Tribolium castaneum: one gene and its partners. The main gene of each other region encodes a partner of the protein of the gene in region 6 in a complex. Links are inferred from orthologs where the notes say so. Each region holds a gene or a part of one and is shown on either strand. Other genes may lie near its edges.

Region 1 (4,297 bases), on a different chromosome or scaffold from region 6:
CGGGGGCAAACTTCTCGGGGTATTTCCGGTGAAACTCCAAGTGTTTCTCGTGCCAGTTGGTCTGGTTCCAATGATCGGGCGAGTTGTCTTTGACGAAATCCTGCACCCGATTCCTAAACTCTGTAGCTTTAAGCAACACCAACTGGATGATGAACGAACAGACTTGAGCCTCGCTCCCTTCCTGCGTCCGCAGCGCCAAACACAAGACCAACCGATCGATTGTCACAATATTGTACTTCCAGATCATGTCATTGATCGTATCCACGCATTTGTTAACATGTTGCCCCCCAGGACTGTTACTAAACTCGAACACGAGACAATCACAAAACTTCCTCAAGTGGGCCGAAAGCGCCCTTGCCCCAATCCTCTCCAGGATTTTGTAGGCAATTGGCGTGATGTGATCAGTCTCGAGGAGCATTTTCCACAACAAACAGAGGAAAAGTGGGGGCGCTCCCGCAACCCCAAAATGCGCCATCATGTCATTTTCGTTGTTCATGGACGACCACTTCCGGTACTCCTCCTCCACTGCTTTCTTCAATTGTTGTTTGTTTTCTTTAGGGACGGCATGTTGCGTGAAAAACTCGGCCAGAGCCCTGGGGAAGCATTCGAGGGTGTGGGGGGCCCACGCATGGGGGGTACTTTGTGCAATGGTCGCCAGCAACTCGTGACACCACGAGCCGTCGGCCCCCGTCACGTGCGTGGCCCTAGCTAGGGTCAAAACCAGCGCCCGATTCAACTCTTCCGATTCCGCCGAAATTAACGTCTTGGGTTCGGCTAAAAAGCGGCTCAGTTCGGGCTGAACTTCGCCACTGCCCAGCCCCGTGATTAGACGCAAAGCGGTCGATTCGACACATAAGTGCAGTTGGGTTTGGTTGGCTTGCGGCACCGCTGCCAACGAATGCAAGTGGCTGAGTAACTGGACACGGTAGTGGGGGTGGATGTGGTGCATCCGATAACTAAACATCTCCAGAAGTGTGTAAAGGGTGCCCCAAGCGTGTGACTTGTATACGGTTGGCAACAACTGGCTTATGAACCCTTTGATGCCCAACGATTCGATCTCGGTGTACACCAACAGGCGACTGTACGTTTCCACCAAAGCTGGTGATAGTGGCATTCCTAACTTGGCCTGTGCTAGTTTAATCACGTGTGTGACAATACTATGGATTAAGCTCATTTTCGAATGCACAGTTAATGAGTCCAAGACGGCCATGCTTAAAGGCGCGGTAGGTGGGGCTGTTGATTTGGGGCTCCCTTGGATCGTCTCAACTAGCGCTGCCATTGGCTTACTGTAATAATCGGGGTTCGTTGAGTAGGCGTTGCACAACAAGGCGATTCTGTAGTCATTTCCCATCGCTAACACGGTGTTATTAGGGGGCACCAACTGTTGGAGGAAATCATGATGGTTGCGTAGTTTGGCGGGAATTGGCCAAGTCAAGTTGGTCATTTCGGCTTGCGCTTTCTTAGTCAAGTGGATCCAAATGCACGTCATTGCCATCTGTCTCGTACACTGGGGCTGGTTGAAGTCCGGAACGGGCAAAGGGGGCTCCTGTTCCGGAAACAACAGTTCGTAAAGCCGCAAAACTGGGAGGAAATTCGAGAGGGGGTTCTTCTGAATCGAACCGGAAATAAACTGCAAGAGGACCCACATGAGTTGGTCGCGCCCTCTCCGCAAGTCGCGCCCTTGCAGTCTCGAATGCAACGATATAACAATGTTTGGGAAACTCGCAAATTGGAAAAGAACAAAATAAATTAACTGGGACGACAAGTGCAGCCATAACCCTTGAGTGGCGCTCTCATCGCCCTCATTTTCCGTGCGTTCCAGCGCCAAAATCACCAACTCGACCAGTTGTTCCTCAAGGGCGGCACAGTGTCTCTTGTGCTGTTTCTGCAACCCTAACATGCCACACACCATGTCGCGACTGTACGGCTGTTCCAGAACGTATCGTAATAAACCGGTTTGCTTCTCTAGTAATTCGGGAGCGTACGGTAAAGTGCCCTTAAGCGAGAATCGCAACGTGCACGGGTCAAGTTTCCAGGGATTGACCAAGTGTTCGGGACAGCCGCTGTGCTCCACAACTGGCCGCATTTCCGCCTGGCCTACGATAGCCACCATTTGGGCACAGGCCCGAAAACTGCCAACGTAATCGGAGAAGAGGGCAGCAAGGCGCCAGTGGGGGCAGTCAGGGTAGGCCTTCTGGAGCTCGTTCACTAGGAGATAGCCAGGCAGGAGGCACGCGTTCCTGTCCATGATTCGTTCAGCGACGCTTAAAAGAGCCTGGGTTTGGGGCTGCAAGCCCGCGTTCAAGCGCCAGGGGAGACTTTTCGCCTTCTCGCAACATCCCTACAATCAACAATCAAACAATTACCACAACAATTCCCCACTTACTTTCATAATTTCGCGAACGCCCTTGTATTCAACCAAATCTATAATTTTCCGCACGAGTTTAAAGCACTCGATCCAGAACCGCGCATTGGTGTGTTGTAGTTTATCGAAATTCATCACCACCTCACACACGATACGGGCCCCAATGGTACCGTTGCGCACGACACTTTCCAGGAGCTCCATCAAGAGCTGGAGCTTGCTTTGGGAACATAGTACAGCAGTGTTGAGGTACTGGCGAAGGGCGGTGTCTAGCTGCTCCTGGGGGATGCTCCGCAGGGCTGTGTTCAACTCTTGTTGCCATACAGCCACCTTTTCCTTTTCGGCACTGGGGCGGTGCACTAGAAAGCAACTAAAGGCTTCTTCGATGCCTTCAACTTTGAGAATGTCGGTTAGGACGTTTGTTAGTGGCTCGCCCATCGTGTCCACGGTTATTTTTCAGGCGAAAACATTATTTTGTGGTTATTTGAATGGGATAATAACGGTAGGTTATGTTTGGCCGACTACATGTTTAGGCAACACATTATACAAGCGCCTAACACTGCAGAACCGTATTCGATTATTTTGACTTGCTGGGTGAATCCTCAGAGATAATAAATAATTGCGTGCGTTGTAAGATGTTATCAACTCTCAAACAACGTCAATCTAAATTATTCCATACCTAGCCACATTGTAATAAAATTCATATCAGCCCGAATCTATTCGTTTATTTGCATATCCACTTCATACGTGAAAATTTGTTTGCTTATCTTTTAATAAAGGCAATATTATTACCGCACGTCTCGTTCATTATGCGCTTAAAGAGTTCTTTTTGTCTCACATTTCGATATGAACTCACAGTTCATAGAACAGGTGAGGTGTCACTCATTTAAATCGTTTTAATTTATTTGTTTCTTCTCCCTAGGTGCAAATTTTAATGCACGCTCAACAAATTAAATGTGCGGAAAGTATTTTTGGGAAATCAAACTACATGTGGCTTTGCAGCAAAAGAACTCCCGTTATTTGGATGTCGACGAAAGATGAATTCTTAATTCGACAAGCCCTAACAAAGGTACAATTTAATTGTTGCAATTAAACGTGCAATTATCCTTCTTTAGGTCACTCCTGACCAACAGGTGAAAGTTATGAAACAATTATTGACTTGGCTGGATAATAATCCCGAAGTCCACTCTTTGAAAATCCCTGAAATGTCGCTAAAGCTCCTCAACAACATGGCTAATGCCAATGCCATGAATGAAAGGACTTTTTCAAGAATGAATAGTTTCAGAAACAGTCTGAGACGCTTGTCCTTAATTACGAACCGAATCGCTCCCGCAAACACACCCAGAAGATCCGTAACTTTCAACGACGTTCCCATAATTTACCGCATAAAATACTGACAAAAAAGTAACGAAACCTTTACAATATCTATGTAAAATTTGTGCCGAAATAAATGCACCTTAAAATTTTTGTTTTTTGAAAAATCTGAGTTAAAAATCAGGGTAAAAAGTCAAATTCAACGTTGTTTTTGATGTTTGAAAAAAATGCATAGAAGATAGGAAAATGACCAAGAAAACTAGGCATATACTTGATTATCATAAATTATTGCAAATTGAATGAACCCATTGGAAATTTCTAGCACTCCCTCCCTTGTTTGAAATTCTCCACGCGTCCGTGGCGCATGCGCATTTTCATCTTACGTGTCAAATAAACGTCAAAAAAGCGCCTCCCTTGCCCCTCTCCGCACTTTTCGGGCCAGTGTCGAGGCACGGACGTGTCAAAAACGCGTGTGTATGTTTTTCTGTTGAATTATTTCCACTTTTCCGTATTTTTTTCCTGTGAACGATGGCTCCCAAACAGCGGATGCGTTTCGCCAACGAAAAGGCCAGCAAGAACGTGGTCTTGCGAGGGAATGTGCCCAAATCGTCGGTGAGTACG
Region 2 (2,589 bases), on a different chromosome or scaffold from region 6:
CCGGCCACAAGTGGGCAAAAAAGACATGTGCCTATCACGTTCGATAATGGCTCTACAGGGACTAAACAGACCCGACCGGCTCGTTCGGGCGACAACGTTAAATTGTATACACCACCTAGTGGAAAGTTTAGTAATAACTTCCAATACGGTAAATTTTATGGGAAAAATGTCTATTTGTTTTAATGATTGGTTTCAGATCGTGGGGGTTCACGAGGTAACAGGTCGAGAGGCCGTGGCTCCCGAGGAAGGGGCAGAAATTGGAGAAATTAATTTCAATCACCCTTCTAACAGTATTGCAGAAATGCAATTCAAATCATTATGTTCAATGCTTATTAGTAAGTTATCAAAACAATACACAACCCGCTTGTGTTGTAAATACCCTAGATCTTATTTTTTTTAATTAGTTCAAGTTAAAACGTGTGCTGGTTTTAATAGTTTGTGTAAAACCTCTAGAAATTTAACAGAATATGTTTTCTATTGTCTTAGAGTTCAATAAAACATTTGGAAAACTAACTTTATTGCATATCATCCACAATCTTGCACATAATCCTATCCAAAATAAAGCACGGGTCTGATTTGTTGTCCTCCTTTGAAGCCTTCTCTTGGTTTACTAAAAGTTCGGTTTCTACGAGCAACTTTGAGTCAACTTCCATGGGTTCAGGCAGGTTTTGAATCGCTTGTTGCAAAATTTCCATAACTTTGTCTAAATGCTTCTGGAACCTATTGGCGGTCTCAATCCTTTGTCGCCTTTGCAACTCCATCATGACCCTAAGCGTCTCCCTAGCCTGATGTGGCCGGAATTCGTTCAACAAGTGGTGAATGTGAATAAATAACAGACTTAAATCTTCGACTTTCTCAGCCCGCTTTGGCGAGTCGGGACAATTCACAAGTAGGTCTAGCAAGTCCAAGAAATTGGCCAACAATGACTGATTTAATTTTTTCAACTCCCTTCGTCTATCAAAGTGGAGTGGATACAAACGTTTGATTCCCTAATAAAATTATTAGTTTTAACCACGGGACGTATTTAGGGACTTACTTGACTCTCCAAAGGCCTGATTATGCTCTCTTCGGTATTGAAGGCATTGCCGAACATATGATACGTGTCTTGAATCGGAGGCGGCGGCCTGGGGGTTCGCCCCCGCCGGATCATCTCGTCCGTGTAGTGGTTGATGTACTGCATGGGGGGCAGTGGCAGGGAACTCACCTGGATCGCTTCCGACGATGCCATTATTTATTTTAATACAATAATTAAGAAAAATACAGTTGTTGACAAACGACAAATGTCAAAATTACATAAAAACCATCACAAAAACCTAAAATTACTAGTTTATTGGCAAGCCTGTTCCTTTTTCAGTTTGACAGCTGTGGTAATACCGCGTCAAGTAAGCTATTTTTTAAAATTCGTATTTATCTTAATCATCTTTGTAATAAATTTGACGAAAATCAATCACAGATCATTCTTTTTTCCTTTATCGTGAATCTTAGCCCTTTTTGTGGAGTTTAATTCACGTTAGGGTTTGACATGTTTTATAACCTCAACCACGGTTGATTTTAGGATGTTGATGCCCAAAAAGAACCGGATCGCGATCTATGAATACCTCTTCAAGGAGGGCGTCATGGTGGCTAAGAAAGACACCCATGCCCCTAAACACCCCGAATTGGAAAGTATTCCCAACTTGCAGGTGATCAAAGCTTTGCAGTCTTTGAAATCGAAGGGATACGTTAAGGAACAATTCGCCTGGCGGCACTATTACTGGTATTTGACAAATAACGGTATTGAGTACCTGAGGACCATTTTGCATTTGCCGCCTGAAATTGTGCCCTCAACGCTCAAGCGACAAGCTAGGACCGAAACAACGCGTGCTCGTCCCACGCCATTCAAATCAGAAACTTCCAGTAAGCCTGCCGAAGACCGTGCCGGATACAGGCGGACTCCCGGGGGGCCTGGATCTGATAAGAAGGCTGATGTGGGGGCTGGCACCGCTGATTTGGAATTTGTAAGTTATGGTAGGGGTTTTTGACGATTTTTACCACGGTTTGTTACAGAGAGGAGGCTTTGGGAGAGGAAAAGCGCCCCAATAAATTAAGTTTTTTATTACAATAAGGCATGATCAGCAAATAAAACCTTGTCGATCGTTAATTGTTTTATTAATTCCCTTTACTCCTGTATAGAGGACGCCATTATAGACGTCATTGTGACACTTGTCAAAATTGTTTACAATAATACATGTGATTAATTCGTGTAATAATGGGACAACAGAGTTCCCAATTTCACGAGTATTTTAACGATATAATCACGGATGAGCCCGTGCTTACTTTACTCTCTGAAGAAATTCATACTCTTAGTTACGAGAAATTTTTGACAATACTTGGGGAACTCAACCAACTGTAATAACAGTTCCTGTGTGGTTGTTATTCATTGTACTATTTTAGCTCCAAACAGCGTTTAGATTCCGAGGGGAAACAGTTAGTGTTTGCTGTAAAGAAAGGGACAGATTCTACAGTTTTCTGGAAAGCTACGGTGCAAATAGCTTGTGTTAAAATTGACTCTAATACTCAAAAAGTGAGTACGTACCGACTGTTAAACCT
Region 3 (4,106 bases), on a different chromosome or scaffold from region 6:
AAGGGATTATAATGCGAAACTGGTCCTTAATCTTAAAAGAAAAGATTTGATAAAAAAAAATAAAAACAAAAAAATCATATTTTTTTCACATTTAGATTTAGTGTTATTATTAAAACTTGTGAATCTAAAACTAATTTATTTTTAAGATTTTTAAAATTAATTAAATTTTAGTAGAGAGGCTGAGGATAGGTTGTGAATAACGTGTGAATTTTTTGAGATTTTTTTCAAATTTGAAACCCCCTCAAACTCCAGAAAAAGAATGCGTTGTATTTGGGAGAAGGTTCGAAGAAATTATTAGGGATGCCTTGACTAAGCATTAATTTATATATTATTAAATATTCAAATTATTAATTAAAAAAAACAATTACAGGACATAAGTTTCTAATTTCCAGTCTAATTTTGATATTGTTAAAATCTTTAATAATTAAAACCTGCCTAAATAATTTTTTTAGAGTTATTTTCATACACAAGATTTTTTTGTCCCATCCGCCATGTGTAAACAAAAAGTAAATTAATCGTGGTTTCAAAAGTTTCAACAAAATCTACCATTTATTTATAAAGTAATTCTTAGAATTAGTGCCTTTTAAATTAACAGAATTTTATAAAGATTGTTTAGCGATAAAAATGTAAGGTCTTTTTTGTGTCCCGTCCGTCACCAATTTGTATTCTTTTTCCTGCTCATATTTCAAATTTTACAAATGTGGCTCCGACTATTGTAGGTTGCAAATTGTTTGACTGGTACTAAGTTCCTATAAAGAAAAATTCACTTCTACTGATACTGGTGATAAAAATTGGTAAAAAATCTATAGTGTCCCGTCCGTTAAAATGAAATGGCTGCTTATATATCAAGAATTGAGGTGGTTAATTAACTATTTTTTGACGTGAAATTAATTGTTTTTTTAATAATAATATAATAATAATAATTTATTTGTGGCAGTAAAACAGTTACAATATAATTAATTACAACAAGAAAAAAAATACGATAACAAAATTAAAATTTTCTACGAGTTGTTCCTACCACAAAGTGGACCAAAAGACAGCAAAGCTGATCAAGGTTTTGACCCAGACAATAAATGAGAAATAACAAAAAAATAAACAATTTGATTGAAGAAAAAAATAAAAAATATAATAATAATAAAATATCTAATTCTATTTAACAAAATTATAGAGCAAAAAAACACATAAGAAAAATCATTTTGTAAGAAACATTTTGTATTTATGTTTAAAATTGCTGATTTTAGAATTTTTTAATGTCAGAGGAACTTCATTAAGTAGATTATTTTTGATTATTTACCATTTTTTGGCTCTCGAAAAGTTTGTACCGCAAACTAGGAGAATCAGTAGTCAACATGACCATTTTTTTATAAATATTATTGCCAACCACTTACCACAAAAAGGCCCTTATTGTTCCCAGACTCCATTTTCCCTTCACTGGCGTGATGTACTATTAAACTAAGTAACGGATGAGTTGCTGATTGTTCTATAGTATCCAATTCAGTAACTTGTTGAATTTGTCTAACTAAATTGACACACATTGGCATTGGTTTGTTTAATTTGAGGACAAAACAGGCCGGAATTGCTGCACTATTTTGGCTACTTAGCGATGAAAAAGACGGCGTACTAAAATAAATTTCCCTCAAAGAAAAAAAAATTTTTTTTAATAATTTTTACCTTTTCCCGTTAATATTCCTATTAACTGTGATGAGAGTGGTCGTTTGCAACTTATGTGTAGCGGACCCTTCCATACACACCGTCACACTGTACCCCAGCGCTTTACTAACGATCGTATCAACAGTAATAGGTTCAATATCACATTTCTCAACATTTAATAAATCATAAGGAGAGACAAAATAGGTGAGTTTCATGGGGTGTCCCCCTCGGCGCTTCTCCAGCACCCCAACCGGAGACTTATACAGCAGGTTGAAAGGTTCCTTCATGAAAGACTGCAAGTGAGCCAAGGTGCTCAAATCAGACTCCAGCGACTGCAAGGCTGTGAACGCCTTACACTTGACCTTTTTCTCAGCATTGAGCTGGTAAATCGAGGCAAAACCTTCCAACTGGGCAGTGAAATCGGCAAAATCGCCACTAGATAAACAATTGACGAGCTCAGCGCAACTCTGTTGCTCCAATTTACTGTCATGGTGCACTTTCACGTCTTTGACGGCCCCCGTCTGGTCGAGCACTATCTCCAGGTAGAACATGTCGGAGGAGATGAAGAGCTCCACCCCCGAGGGGCCCACCATGAACTTGAGCCCCAGCTGCCGCGTCAAGCTCTCCAGCCGCTCGATCATGCTCTGCAAGGACGTCACTTTGATGGAGTGCTGCAGAGTGTCGAGGCATTTCTGGTGCTGGCTCTTCTCGACGCTGTCCAACGCGTAGCGCTTGTCCTGAAAGTAGGGCATCAATGGAGGCAGTGCCAGACATGACATAACCTACAAGCATGGCCATTCGCACATTTTTGGATATCTCTGTCAAGCTTTTGTACTGCGACGCCTTCGAGCGCAGCTTCTCCATCAATATCTCCAACTGCCAGTCTTTGGATTTGTCCACAACGGACGGTGGCATCGCTAAATTGCCTTAAAAGTAAACAAAGTTGTAAATGTCAAAAGTCAAACTCTTGGCTGGGGCGCGCAACCCACCGTTTGTTACGCGATTCATGATGAGTTCGGGCGAAATTAACGTTAAATGTTCGTAAACATTTTCTATTTGGGGCGAATTAAGGGAAAAAAACCGATTTTTCGAACATACATCAGCACCAAACAAAAACTTGACAGTTTCGTTACTTTCCCCAATTTAGGGATATTTGGCTACGCCACCGGCGCCCAATTCAAACTCGTGTCTGATAATAACAATAACAATAAAAATATTCAAGTGCTTTTCCATTCATTTGTGTTTACCAACTCTCAACTTTATCAAGATTTGATACTTTGGAGTGCTTTGAATTGGTGGCACATATGTTGTGCTTATTGCAACGCAAATATTTTAATGAAATGTGGTCGTAAAACAAACTCCCGGAATTAATCCGCGTTTTTTACCAACGAATTTCGTATTAGATCCGTCAATGACAATTAAAGCCGTAATTCGCTACAACTTTTCAACTTTTTAGATCGCAAGAAGTTGCTGACACGATAATCTCCTCATCTTCCCCCAGAACTGGAGCAAATGCCCGCTAACACATCACAACTAAGATAATAGTACACCATAGGCACATTTCCAAAATTTTGAATAGTTTATTCTCGTTTTTTTTTTTATAAAGAAATCAAATACGTTGTGCGTTAGTTTATACCACATAATGTTTTTTTTTATTATTTTGTAGGCATTCAACAAAAATCACATAAAATTGCTTAGTTTACTGTATTTCAAAATTTCTTAGATAGATGTTTTTTACAAAAAATGTTTCCAAACCGTTAAAACATGATATGAGGGAGTTTTAGAAGAAATCAAGCAAGATTGACTACTTTATTTTACTCCATGTGATTCAGATAAAATGAAAAGCTTTCAAAAACCAAATGCAACAAAAAATAATTTACACGAAGGGTGTTTTACATTTTATTTCTGTAATAAATTAATAATAGCCCCCGTCACCTTAGGTATCGTCTGATATTAAAGAAGAACCTTGGTCCCCTTTATACCATTGTATTTGCTGTTTCAAAACTATAAAAACGTCAACGTCACATTTTCTCACAAAATTTGCTGTGATGTGTGCTGTTATAAATTATTCATGCAGTTGAAGAAAATAATAACTAATGTAATTTATACTTTCAATGAGATATCTAATCATTAATAACTATTTTACAATTTTATCAACCTTATTTAAAAAATATTTGGTAAAGTGCGTCGTTGTTGTTTTTATAGTTTTGAAACAGCTAGTGGCAGATTTAGTGTAATAAAATTAAAAGAAAAAAAATTGTAGTAGTTATTTTTTTTAACAAGTTGCTTTGTAATACAAGCATAAACTAAATAACTCAAAATTGCCAGAAATCACGTAAATACATTAGTTTAATGAGTTATAAAAATTCATCCTTTTAGTTTTACGAATAGTTTTATTGAATTTTATAACAAAATTTATATTCTTCTTCAATAAACATTTCCAGAAATTAATTAAG
Region 4 (3,834 bases), on a different chromosome or scaffold from region 6:
CCGAAAATGACAAAATTTACACTTTTATGAATTTTGTCTCCATCTCTGCCCTTTCAGAGCGTTATGATAGGATATTTAGGGTCGAAATCTCTACCTTTATTATGTGCTATTGCCAGATAAGGACAAAAGTTCAGAAAGTAGGGTTAGGGTGTATTATGATCTCTTCTGAAGTGTTAAATTTTAACTTTAATGTTTTTTGTGTGCTTTCCTGCTCTTCTAGAGCGCTATTAATTATTATTGAACATGTTTAAGGACAGACAAATCTACCTTGAGTCAACGACATAAATTTCAGTGAGATTTATTGAAAAATGCACTTCTCGTGTCAACCTTTTCATGAAAAAGGGTGTTTAAACGTTTATAAAGGGTATGTTAACGTGTGTTGTTAACTTTACCACGTAATAAAACATAAAGTATAACTTGGTAATTTTTTACTTTAACTACTTCTGGATTTTCAAGCTGAAACTTACACCAAACGATTCCTCTGAGTGCCCTGATGACCGTACACTATGAATTTTCTTGTGCAAATTGAAAATAACATTAGAAAAATAATTTTTATTTTCACTCACTTTTTACTTGAATCGCCATTTTTGTTGATTTTAATTTGAGTTTATTTTTTATAATATCACGTTAATTTTTATTATTATAGTGGATCAAAATGTCGTCTTTAGGTTAGACTATTGCCTACTATCGGTTAGGAACAACATGATCTCCAAAAATATAACGTAGTAATGAGCTCCAGAAGGTTTACGTAGATAGGTGCGTTTTTCCCAAAAGTGAGTTTTTTGAGATCGAACCGCAAGTGAGTCACACTGCGAGGAGACTCCCATAGACAGAAGTTGCAAACATAAGGTGCCAGACCGGTGCCAGTTTGGCTGATTGCAAGTATGTCTTTATCATCGATTCGGTGACGACTATTAGTTTCGTAAACTTAATGGATTTAATAAATATCTTTAACATTAAATGTGATCGTGTCATGTTGGGTAAAATTCTTCCATCTGTGCTGTCTGTGCATCCACCTTTTCAAATACAATTAAGAAATTTTCATAATAATTGTATTTGATAAGGTATTGGCATCATTTTGACGTGAGCAAAAATTAAAAAAATATAAAGTAATCGGAATTATTTTAAATTCGCGCCATTTTTAGTACGTGATGATGCGGCTAGATGGCTTCAGCTAGGAATTCATTGCCAACCATTATGTTCCGCTTCTATTAAAGTGTTATTCTAGGGCCACAGCCATTGCCGTCTCGAACTCCAGGCCGTCAGGTTACTAGCTTTTGTTTATTGTGACGTCATCGTAAGAGTCGTGACATTTGTTCGCATCGTTTGAATATATTGTACTTTTTGGTGTTTTTGAGAGTGTTATTAAGTAATTTGTTGTTGTTTACGAATTTGTTGTTTTGTGGTTGCGTTGTAGGGAATGAATTTTGTGTGTTTATAGTCTTGTGTGACGTGATTTTGACAATTATAGGTTAGGATAGTTTTGCATTATTTTTGTTTATAAATTTGGTTTTATTGTTTTTAATCGTTTAATTTGGTAATAAATAAGCAGATAAGGCATATTTCAGTCTCTAAACCTAACATACTTAATCCTATTGCATTCCTAATTTTAGAAAATGCCGAATAAGTGTTGTGTTCCCAATTGTGTGTCTAACATGAATGGTCCTTATGTACCTATGTTTTCCTTTCCCAAACAAGAATCCCTGCGATCATTATGGTCAAGAAAGATACCCCGAACTAATTGGACTGTTACCAAGAACAGTCGTGTTTATGTGAAATATTTTCGGGATGATTTTATAATAAAATATCACGAAGTGACTAGAGATGACGTAAAATTCTTCGTCATATTCTTATACTTTCGATCACACTTTTACGACTAATTTAAAACATATTTAGCGAATAATAACATGTTGCATTCCATAAGAACCTGTGTTAAAACTTGGATAAAACGGTCGTCTTTAAGTCGCGGTTATTCAAAATTTAGGCCCATAAGGAGAATTTTTGTATTAATAGACGTAACTTTAGACGTTTAAGTACGGCTAGATGGTTTAAACTATCAAAAAATATAAACTTTAATATATGTTTTTCGGGTAATAACAAACGGATAAGGTACTTTAAATCACAACGTATGTCACTATAAAAATTATAGTTGACCGTTCGTTGACCACATTTGCAGTATCAGGATTCTTTAGATACACTTTTCCGTCGTTTCTTGCATAAAACGTTGGACGCAACATAGTTAAAATTAATTTTTTGCAAAAATTCAGAAAGTTAGGTTATGATCATTTAGACTCTTACTGTGACGTCACAATGTCAACATGCAGGCCTGGAGTTCGAGACGGCAATGCCACAGCCGACATACCGTCATCGTGGTTAAGGTTATGTTTTTGTAAACAGCGCCAAAAATACAGCAAAATGCAACAACGGGAAGAAAAACAACTCGAATCGTCTCTCGATTCCATAATCCAGCGTGTCAACGACCTAAAATCATCGATAGCTTCAATGATTTACAAGGTGGAGAATGAATATGAGACCCTCAACTGGCCCACATTTTTGGACAATTACGCCCTTATGTCCGGCCAACTCACCTCCCTTTCGAAGGTTTTAAGCCACGACAAATGCCCCACCCTCAGAAATCTCACAGTACTGCCCCTCATGTTGTCCCCCGAGCGGGACGAACAATTGGCCCAAATGACCGAACACAGAGTCACAACCTTCGCCCATGATTTAGTCCCAGATTATCTTCGAACCAAACTAGAACCGTTGGCGGAGAATAAAATGATGCAATTGGAACACAAGGCGTCAACTTTATCGTATGAGAACGCACAGGTATGTTAAAATTTTTGGTAGAGTATGTTTCAACGCAAACTTTCAGAAACAAATTGCTGCGTATCAAAAGGTTGTGTCCCACGTTTGGGAACTGGTGAGTAAAGCGAGGGAGGAGTGGGAAGTTGAGTCTTCCGCCAGGGGAAGTACGCAGCAGAATTCCAGTGTGGCTGATACTCACTCGCTTGTGGCGGCTGTTGGAATGGGGAAGGGACTCAAGATGGGGGCGAACCCTAACGGTCAGCCCAATCCCACGTCGGGAGGGATGATGGTGCCTCCGCAGGGGCGCCCAGGGGGCACTCCCGGGCAAGGACAGATGCCCCCCAGCACGCAAACCATGACGATGAATAAGGCGCCCTCTGCTATTAAGACTAACATCAAAAGTGCCACCCAAATACATCCATATGGACGCTAGTGAAATAGTTTTTAATGTGTACGGAGATATATTTATTTATTAAGATATAATCTTACAAAAATAACTAAATATAACAGTGGAAACAAAGATTAACACTTTGTAGCGTAATGAGTAGATTATAAAAAGCATTAATTTTATAGACTTTGAAACTATACTATCAACAAATGGTTGAAGTGTGGCTGGTCGGAACGGGTGGCTTTTCCAATAAGTACAGCGGAACTTGAACATTTTCACGATGTATGTTAGCACATGCTACGCATTATATAAAATATAAAACATATAACATTTAGAATACTTGGGACCCAGTCAAACAAAAATTAACAACTTAAAAAAATATTTTCTACAACGTAACGCGGGTGACTGGACCCTGTTTACGTATAATACGCATTTAAAAAAATATAACAAACAACAAATAAAATACTCTTGTGCATAAATTGCAACTATTCTATGGTCATATATTTTCCTTACATGGCAAGAGAATTTTCCTAAGTTTTTGTTCCCTATATACAAAGTGGTACAATAAAAGAATTCAACTCTTTATACTCTCTAATTTGTTAATATACTTTTGTTTCTTAAAATACTGACCAACAATT
Region 5 (2,709 bases), on a different chromosome or scaffold from region 6:
AGGTTATCTGGAATTAGCGTTTAGTCTGCGGTCCGCTTCCAAAAACAATTACCGTATTGTGGCGTTTTCTGGATTGGCCGTCGATTGACGTACTCTTGATCAATCACGTTCCCCAATTTCGCCGCCAACTCTTCGGCAAAGTTGGTAGTTGGTTGCACCGGAACTGAGTTTTCACTATCACTCGAATTGACGAAATTTTTCGGTTCAGTTCGCAAGTCCTCAGAACTGGTATCAGAGGTGCCCTTGATCTGGAAAAAGAACCAGATATTGCCCATGGCGACTGGATCGCGACTAAACAAAAAATTCGGTTGGCCGGTTAATAGACCAATAAAATTATGATAATGAATGGATCAAGTGCAACTCAACCAGTGGAAAAACATGTGTAAAGTACCTGTGTTCTGTCGGGAATAATTGGCAACTCTGATTCTGAGTCGCTTTCACTGAAATTATCTGAGACTTTCTCAGTTTCGCTATCGCTGGACGAGTCCTCCAGGCCCACGTGCCACGTCTTTTGCCACTCTTCTGAGCCGATTACGTACGGAAGGGGGCGCTCCAGGTACAAGTCTTTGGGTCTGAGGACAAAACTGGAAAAGACAAACTAGTTTTTGTAAATTATTTAGAAAAAAATTACTTGGGCAAGTCGATATCGTCGTCTTCACTGTCACTGACCGACACCTCAACCTTCTCAAAATACGTCTCCAAGACCTCCAAACCCTTCAAAGCCGCCAACCTGATTTCCTCAGTCTTATCAACCTCTTTCTCCTCGGCTTTCGCCTCAACCGGCTCCTCCAAAGTCTCATCGTCCTCATAAACCCGACTTTCAATAAACTGGCTGTTTCGCAAACTTTGAAACTCGTTTTGGGCTATATTCAACTGGAGACTTGTCTCAGACAGGGAGCTTGTCAAATTTTGCAAGTTATTGTTGATTTCGGTTGTTCGAGTCAGGAGATTCTAAAAATTGAACGCTGAAACGGTTCAATGTGGGCCAAAAATGCGAAATACGTCTGCAAAAGCCTTGAGAGTGTTCAAAAGGGCCACATCTCCGGCTAAATTCCAATTGTCCGAATTTTGGATTATTTCGTCCATGGACCATGGTCGCTCCCACGGCTTGGCCCCGGACATTTCTAAAGCGCTGAACAGGCCTGTAATTGCTATTTTTCATTAATAATAATAATAATTTGACATCTGTCAAAAACTGACTTGGGGACTTTCAACTCGTGGGTTGGCTATTACTCCCCGGTTTTGCGTTATTATTTGATTAAATAAAACCAATTAATTTGTAAATAAAACCGTTCTACTATATTTGAAATCAGGCGTGATAACTAAAATGTAACTTCGGCCCGGTGGGATTAATTTACGCAGACTTTACCCAACCAGATTTGGGTTGGCAATCATGTGTGTTTGTTTTTGCAAGATGTCATTCACCTTCTAGTATTATTCTAGTTATTTCGTACGAATTAATATATTTTGTCGCATATTAAACCTCGGGAGATAACAAATTATCATCAGTGTTGGTTTTTATGTGATTTCGGGTCTTATCACTTGTCGGTGATTGGGTAACATAACCTCAATGGCCGATCGTTTGACCCAGCTCCAGGATTGCATAAATCAGGTAATTCCCCCTAAGACTGTACCACTAATTGCATTCGTGTTGTCGCAGCAAGCCGAGCATTTCTGCAACAGCATTGGGATTTTGCAACAGTTCGCCCCTCCTAGCAAATTCCCAAACTTCGACAGGAGTGGCTCCCAAACCCCCCAGCAACAGAACCAAGAAGACTACGTCCAGTTATTCACAACGTTGATTGCGCGCTGTGCCAAAGACATAGATACTTTGATTGAATCGCTCCCGAGCGAGGAAAATTCAACCGAATTACAGGTACCTATCTACAATGACTTGGTCCGACCGCGGACTAAACACTGTTTCAGTTGCAAAGCTTGCGAATTTTGGAATCAGACAATCAAGAGTCTGCTGAGCGTCTCGAGGCTATAGTTCGTAAAGGTCAGGATCTCTTGGAGCAAATCCAGGCGGCGTTGAGCGACATCGCCCAATCACAGCTGGACATGCAGCATTTGACAAAAGCGGGGAGTAAGGATAGTTAAGTGAGCTGTTAATGAATTTTATTTGCGGTTGTGATGAAAAACAAACACAAATAACCATGTACTATTTACAGAAACATATATACAAATAAAAAAGATAATTTAAATTTTATATAGTAACTAACTCGGTTTAAAGTCTGTCTTGTTTCCCTTTAATTAAGTGTTCCTCGACACGTGGCCGCGCCACACAGACACGGGATTTTCTCGTCCTCGATCGGGAATTTGTAATCGTAAGTAATTTCCTCGTTCACACCTATGCTCTGTTTCGAGTAGATCACTATTTTCTTTTGCGACTCGATTGTGATGACTTTGGCGTAGCAATTCGGCTGTAAAAATCATTTTTTCGGGTTATGGAAGACTGTCGCTTAGGAAACGAAACGAGATACAAAATCGTACCCAAAATGTAAAAATGAGGGCGCTTTGAGCATTATACTGTCTCGGCGCCAAGTCGTTTTAAATTAATTTAAAAACAAATGGACAAATCAAGAACACAAGAAAAATCCTACGAAGAAATTTATGGAGAATAAAATTTTCTATTACACGTACACCAAGAATCATTTAAAAACACATTGTACCTACACCGTTGAAAATGGAAATATGTTGTCGCAAACT
Region 6 (2,659 bases):
AATCATACTTAATATCAAAATAAGTGTACCACAAAAACGCTGTGCCCAAGATGCTCGCAATTGTGAACAAAATCATGATTATGTACGACACTAAATGGGCCAGTAGATGCAGTATTGAGATAGTTAACAGCGAAAAAACTGAAAATCAAACTGTACAAATTTTCCTGTGACTATCCAAAGGCTCACATAGTGATAAAAACGTTAAATAAAGGATTTCCTTCCAGGTGCTGTATATGTCGCCCAAAATTTGCTCAAGTGTGTCCCAACTGTTCAAAGCTTCGTAAAAATTGCTCAAAATTGCTTCGCCTGCATCTTGGAATGATTTAGGAACGCAACGGTTGAGAACTGGGGTGCTTTAGAAAACCAGTTTTATCTTTATAGAACACAAGTTTAGGGGAAATACCTTTCGTAAATAGGAAGTGCCGGACACGGCCCTAAATAGCTACTCAGAATCTCCTTATTCGCAATACTCTTGTTCTTAAAATCGTCATAATTAAAATCATATCTACACAAACTGACGCCAGTTTTTTGGTAATATTTCTGGATATCTTCAACTTTTTTTAACGTCTCCGTGGGACACTGTTTTACGCATATCTTCAGCGACTGTTTCAGCTCTTTAATATCGTAGAAGAGCAAAAATTGTTTGTCTGAAGTGTCCAGTCCTGATACTTCCAAATTGGACATTTTTCTGTTATTTTTTGTCCCGCAAATGTTCCCAAATGAGTCATAGCCGTTTATAATTCTGATGGGATTGCCGTAGACAAAGGAGAACGCCGCAATTAAAACCTAAAAATATTAATGAGGCAAATTACACACCAATCAAGGTTATTTACCATTAGTAACCAAAACGCAATGTACAAACACAACCAAAACACGTCGGTGCACCCTCTCTGAGCGGGTTCTTCCCGCTCGGGCTCCTTTTTCGACTCGCAACAACCCATTTTCGTTAACTCAAACCACTTTTTTCACAAAAGACGCATGTTTTCACTGAGAAAACCAGCAATGTTTTGGGGGCGGCGGCTTCGACGCGGTATCTTAGCAACAGTAACAATTGCACAATCTCGCCAACCAAACTAAACCTAAAGTTACCAAACTAGCAGGGTTCCAAACGCCAGACCGTGAAAATTACCAGGGTAACAATTGATTTGTTTGTTTGTTTGACGATTTTGTGTTGGTACGTGATGCTGAAGTGACATTTCCCATTTCCAGCTGCATCGTTGTTGCAAAACGATGAAGTTGTAAGATGATGGGCGATCAGTTTCGTAAAGTGGAACAATATTCGCCCAAATCTTCGCCTAGAGGGGCTCGTTCCCCTGTCGTTTCACGTCAGGATTCGTCAGGAACATTAAAAACGACAATTTTGTTAGGAAAGAACCCTTCAATTGTCCCTAGTGGACCTTTCTATTTGATGAAAGAGCCTCCAGGTAAGCAAGACAAGGCTTGAAGTCGTTTAAATCACGCGGACGGTGGTTGTAGGAGAGTCGGAACTAACAGGAGCGACGAATTTGATGGCCTATTATGGCCTTGAGCACTCTTACAGCAAATTCAGTGGGAAAAAACTCAAGGAACAGTTATCTTCGTTTTTGCCAACTTTGCCTGGCGTTATTGACTCTCCTGGACAGCATGATAACAGTTCGCTAAGATCAGTGATTGAGAAGCCTCCAATTGGGGGCAAGGAGTTGTTACCATTGACTAGCATCCAACTGGATGGGTTTAGACTACACCCTGGGGCGGTAAGCTTGATAATTTCCCTTTAATGTGTTTTGTTGAGTATTGGATTTTAGCTCCCTGAACAATACCGCTACGCAAATGCGGCGCCTATGAAAAAGCATAAAAATAAACACAAAAAACACAAACACAAAGATGGGGGGCTTCCAAGTCAGGAGACTACCATTACCGATGCTGGAAGTGATACACACGAGAAGAAGCATAAAAAACAGAAACGACACGACGAAGATAAAGAACGGAAGAAGAGGAAAAAGGAAAAGAAGAGAAAAAAGCAGAAACACAGTCCTGAACACAGTGGGGGCCTAACGCCCAGCCAACACTCAAATTCGTGAAGATCTTTGGATTGTGAATAATTCCAACTTACCCTAGGTTTAAGATCTATTATTATTTATTGTTTATTATTTTTGAAAATAAACAGACTGTTATTTTTATTAAGTTTTTACTGGTCGTTTTAGCAAAGCTAGCACCACTAGATTAATTAAATTCATGATTATCAAAAAATAATAAATTTGAGGGCCTACAAATGCCCTTAGGCCGACCCTGAACTCTGATAAGGTTTTCAGTGCTGCCACAACAAGTTCTCCAGCTGTGTTTCATACAAACTTATTATTACAATTTATATCCATCACAAATGTTGTTTTTAAGTACCTCGACGGTATTCAAGTGGAACTGAGAATATAAAACAAGGTTGTTTGTGGAAAATTTAATATTTTGGCGTGCTTTATTTAGTGTGTTTTTTTGGTGGGGTTGGCAGGGCTGTTAGCGCCGACCAATCACAAGCCCCCAATCCGTAGCGTCTTTTCCCTCGCATCCATTTTCCTCCTGTTTGTTCGATTATCCCAACGGTAGAAGATGGGCGATCGTAAGTATCCCGATTTTTAAAAAATCTCGCTCATCCCTGTACGAAATCACCTCGTGTATTCAAATTTCG
Region 7 (2,676 bases), on a different chromosome or scaffold from region 6:
TTTTCGCCGTCGGGTTGGTCACGCAACTTATCGAAGACCTAGCCAAAAAGGCGTGTGATTTAAATTTTGACAAGTGATAGACATACGTACAGGACAATTGATGATATCTTCAAGTCTTTCGTTAGGTTTTTTCCCTTTTTTTGGACGAACTAACAAATAAATTGTTGATAATTGAGGACATGAGCGTAGTAATTTCTCGATTAGTACTTTCCCCATAAAACCAGTGGCGCCCGTGATGAGGATGTGTCGGTTTTTGTAGAATTCCGCAACCGCTGATTTATTGCTCATTGTTGAGAAACCTCAAAAACGATTAAGAATTGATTTATTTGCGTGTTGTGTAACGTGCACGCCACTGGTGAAAAAGTTAGGTAATAGGACAGTGGCGTACAAGGAAATGTCAAACACGATTTCGGCAAATATTTGATTGTGGACACAGCACTTGTGATAAGTAGCCGCGTAACAATACACGAGTTTTTGCACAATTGCTTTAACAAATAGAAAAAAATTTCAAAATAATGCAGTGAACTTTTTATGAATTTCGTCAATTCTCATTAATACATTAATAAAATAATAAGTAATGTGTTTCCATTAAAATTAGCAATGATAAATTACTGATATTTACTAAATTAAACAGTGAATTAATTATTGCATCAAATTTTTTATAAAACAAATGATCGAAAAATGAAGCAAAATCATATAAAAGGGTGACTTTGTTTTTTATTTTAATTATGATTACCAAGAAACTTTAATTTAATTAAAAATTGTAAAAATCGAAAAGCATTTTTTTAATTAATTCTTTACTTAAAAAGGATTTAATAGTAATAATAACTGATAATAATTAAACCGTAATTACAGTAAATTAAAAAGAAATTATGATTTTTAAACATATTTGAGACTAAAAACGCTAATCAGGCGTTAAATAGCTGATTAAATAATTAGAAAATTGTTAAATTAATTAATGAAATAATTAATGATAAGATAATTCAAAATTACAATAAATGAGCCAAAAAAAACGCGATTAAAGTCCTCACTTTAAATTTTTTATTGATCCCGCAAAAGTGAAAAGAAAAAATCTCGACTTACTGAAAGGCAGCAACAAAACAATAAAATTGTTCACACACAAAGCAGCAATGTTTTGTAGACAAAGCCGCAACCCATCCACCTGTTTTCATACAAATACCATTACCATATACCACCACCATGGGAATTTCCATGAAAATTCCTCGTGTTGGGGATCATTATGTTAGTCAGTTATTTTCTTATTGGTGGTCAATTTCCCGCTCAATTAAATAACTGGGCTACTTTCACCAGCGATTGATTTTTCCACACGCTTCTTACAACATGTACCGTTTCGATCCGATTTCTTATTATTGAGAATTGAATTACGCAAGAATAATACTTTCAATAGAAGAACAAGGGAATTTGCCAAGCCTCTAATGGTCGCTTTTCTATTGTTGTTACTTGTGACATTTTAAGTGCACGCTCTTACAACACGAACTTGCATTTATCCTAATTGATTAATTAAAAAAATTCGAATTCGAATCACGCGCCATTTTATGCACAACAAACATGGCTGGGAAAGGTAAGCGTCCTTTAATTAAATTTAGGTAATAAACAAGTTTTAGGCTGGAATTATATGTCAGGGGCTCCGGAAACCGACGATCAGCAAAGACTCCGCTTCCAGATTGAGCTAGAGTTTGTGCAGTGTCTCGGAAATCCTAATTATCTCAACTGTAATGACGTAACCTCACTTTTTCGGGAGGGAAAAAATACAATTTTTTGCGTTTTAGTTCTCGCACAGCGTGGTTATTTTAAGGATAGTACGTTTGTTAACTATTTGAAGTATTTGCTTTATTGGAAGGAGCCCGAATACGCCAAATATTTGAAATATCCAATGTGTTTGTATTTTTTGGATTTGTTGCAATATGAACACTTCCGGAGGGAATTGGTGAATGCTCAGTGTTCGAAATTTATCGACGATCAACAACTTTTATTGTGGCAACACTACACCAGGCGGAGGAGTCGTTTGTTAACCCCTTCGAATGTTAACGGGACAGGTGAACAAAGTATTAACCAGAATAGCCAAAGTAACGGACATTTGAGCAATAAAATCAGCTAGGTAGGGTACAAATGTGATTTTTTGGTGGTTAAGTGAAATAAATTATTTTTTTGTTTAGTTACATAAATCACCAAGATCCCACCAATTGCACCAAAATCCCACCCATTTCCATCCAAATCACAATTGATTGGCTGTCGCTGTAATTAAGGTAAGTTCCTTGTTTTTCCTTAAAAATCGTAAAAAATGCAAAATTTGTAACAAACCTCAAAACCAAAAGTCCCTGAACCCGCCCCGCCAAATTCAAATACAAGTTCCGTTTCTCGACCCAATTGGACTTAACTGTACACGAAATCCGCTCGACTTTCATACACCAAAAGTGTACTTGGCTTACACGATTTGTTTATTAATAATTGTTGACATGGTTCTATTAACAATCAAATCAATCATTTCGTTTCGATGCGTCCAACAATTAAAATGAATTTTTTCAAAATAATTTTTGTCGTTATTGTGATAATTTTGTGTGCTAGTGATGCGAAAATACGCAAGAAAAATACCAAAGGTTTGATTTTGCGGCAAAAAGAAACGAATGCGATTAATTTTCTCAGGTAAAAAAATAT

What was found.
Region 1: MED19 (region 6) and MED23 share a complex: the UniProt entries of both Drosophila melanogaster proteins name them as parts of the mediator complex. The link is inferred for Tribolium castaneum from reciprocal best matches to the Drosophila melanogaster genes MED19 and MED23.
Region 2: MED19 (region 6) and MED7 share a complex: the UniProt entries of both Drosophila melanogaster proteins name them as parts of the mediator complex. The link is inferred for Tribolium castaneum from reciprocal best matches to the Drosophila melanogaster genes MED19 and MED7.
Region 3: MED19 (region 6) and MED1 share a complex: the UniProt entries of both Drosophila melanogaster proteins name them as parts of the mediator complex. The link is inferred for Tribolium castaneum from reciprocal best matches to the Drosophila melanogaster genes MED19 and MED1.
Region 4: MED19 (region 6) and MED8 share a complex: the UniProt entries of both Drosophila melanogaster proteins name them as parts of the mediator complex. The link is inferred for Tribolium castaneum from reciprocal best matches to the Drosophila melanogaster genes MED19 and MED8.
Region 5: MED19 (region 6) and MED21 share a complex: the UniProt entries of both Drosophila melanogaster proteins name them as parts of the mediator complex. The link is inferred for Tribolium castaneum from reciprocal best matches to the Drosophila melanogaster genes MED19 and MED21.
Region 7: MED19 (region 6) and MED31 share a complex: the UniProt entries of both Drosophila melanogaster proteins name them as parts of the mediator complex. The link is inferred for Tribolium castaneum from reciprocal best matches to the Drosophila melanogaster genes MED19 and MED31.

The regions. Positions count from the first base shown.
Region 1 is NC_087394.1:35,203,805-35,208,101, forward strand, and holds the start of MED23 (mediator of RNA polymerase II transcription subunit 23), read right to left. Parts: upstream 2,801-4,297; coding exon 2,387-2,800; exon of another isoform or gene 2,342-2,386; coding exon 1-2,341. Other genes in the region: stress-associated endoplasmic reticulum protein 2, read left to right, coding at 4,205-4,288. UniProt on the Drosophila melanogaster protein: Component of the Mediator complex, a coactivator involved in the regulated transcription of nearly all RNA polymerase II-dependent genes.
Region 2 is NC_087402.1:3,009,666-3,012,254, forward strand, and holds MED7 (mediator of RNA polymerase II transcription subunit 7), read right to left. Parts: upstream 1,229-2,589; coding exon 1,037-1,228; intron 990-1,036; coding exon 516-989; 3' UTR 501-515; downstream 1-500. Other genes in the region: cass (apoptosis inhibitor 5), read left to right, coding at 1-148, 197-270; small ribosomal subunit protein eS10, read left to right, coding at 1,557-1,997, 2,047-2,082; RING finger protein 141, read left to right, coding at 2,249-2,388, 2,434-2,589. UniProt on the Drosophila melanogaster protein: Component of the Mediator complex, a coactivator involved in the regulated transcription of nearly all RNA polymerase II-dependent genes.
Region 3 is NC_087399.1:8,918,250-8,922,355, forward strand, and holds the start of MED1 (mediator of RNA polymerase II transcription subunit 1), read right to left. Parts: upstream 2,801-4,106; 5' UTR 2,659-2,800; coding exon 2,640-2,658; intron 2,577-2,639; coding exon 2,437-2,576; intron 2,388-2,436; coding exon 1,672-2,387; intron 1,621-1,671; coding exon 1,389-1,620; intron 1-1,388. UniProt on the Drosophila melanogaster protein: Component of the Mediator complex, a coactivator involved in the regulated transcription of nearly all RNA polymerase II-dependent genes.
Region 4 is NC_087396.1:15,801,447-15,805,280, reverse strand, and holds MED8 (mediator of RNA polymerase II transcription subunit 8), read left to right. Parts: upstream 1-1,226; 5' UTR 1,227-2,310; coding exon 2,311-2,829; intron 2,830-2,875; coding exon 2,876-3,241; 3' UTR 3,242-3,334; downstream 3,335-3,834. UniProt on the Drosophila melanogaster protein: Component of the Mediator complex, a coactivator involved in the regulated transcription of nearly all RNA polymerase II-dependent genes.
Region 5 is NC_087401.1:8,393,464-8,396,172, forward strand, and holds MED21 (mediator of RNA polymerase II transcription subunit 21), read left to right. Parts: upstream 1-1,382; 5' UTR 1,383-1,570; coding exon 1,571-1,612; intron 1,613-1,660; coding exon 1,661-1,876; intron 1,877-1,926; coding exon 1,927-2,100; 3' UTR 2,101-2,209; downstream 2,210-2,709. Other genes in the region: FAM21 (WASH complex subunit 2A), read right to left, coding at 1-7, 53-248, 392-584, 632-951, 1,003-1,122; Set1 (histone-lysine N-methyltransferase SETD1B), read right to left, coding at 2,250-2,423. UniProt on the Drosophila melanogaster protein: Component of the Mediator complex, a coactivator involved in the regulated transcription of nearly all RNA polymerase II-dependent genes.
Region 6 is NC_087395.1:19,591,557-19,594,215, reverse strand, and holds MED19 (mediator of RNA polymerase II transcription subunit 19), read left to right. Parts: upstream 1-1,170; 5' UTR 1,171-1,243; coding exon 1,244-1,424; intron 1,425-1,476; coding exon 1,477-1,733; intron 1,734-1,784; coding exon 1,785-2,060; 3' UTR 2,061-2,159; downstream 2,160-2,659. Other genes in the region: Ctl1 (choline transporter-like 1), read right to left, coding at 1-138, 187-353, 404-786, 834-941; RNA-binding protein cabeza, read left to right, coding at 2,581-2,590. UniProt on the Drosophila melanogaster protein: Component of the Mediator complex, a coactivator involved in the regulated transcription of nearly all RNA polymerase II-dependent genes.
Region 7 is NC_087401.1:17,495,447-17,498,122, forward strand, and holds MED31 (mediator of RNA polymerase II transcription subunit 31), read left to right. Parts: upstream 1-1,130; 5' UTR 1,131-1,569; coding exon 1,570-1,582; intron 1,583-1,625; coding exon 1,626-1,733; intron 1,734-1,790; coding exon 1,791-2,119; 3' UTR 2,120-2,176; downstream 2,177-2,676. Other genes in the region: uncharacterized protein LOC656943, read right to left, coding at 1-38, 91-299. UniProt on the Drosophila melanogaster protein: Component of the Mediator complex, a coactivator involved in the regulated transcription of nearly all RNA polymerase II-dependent genes.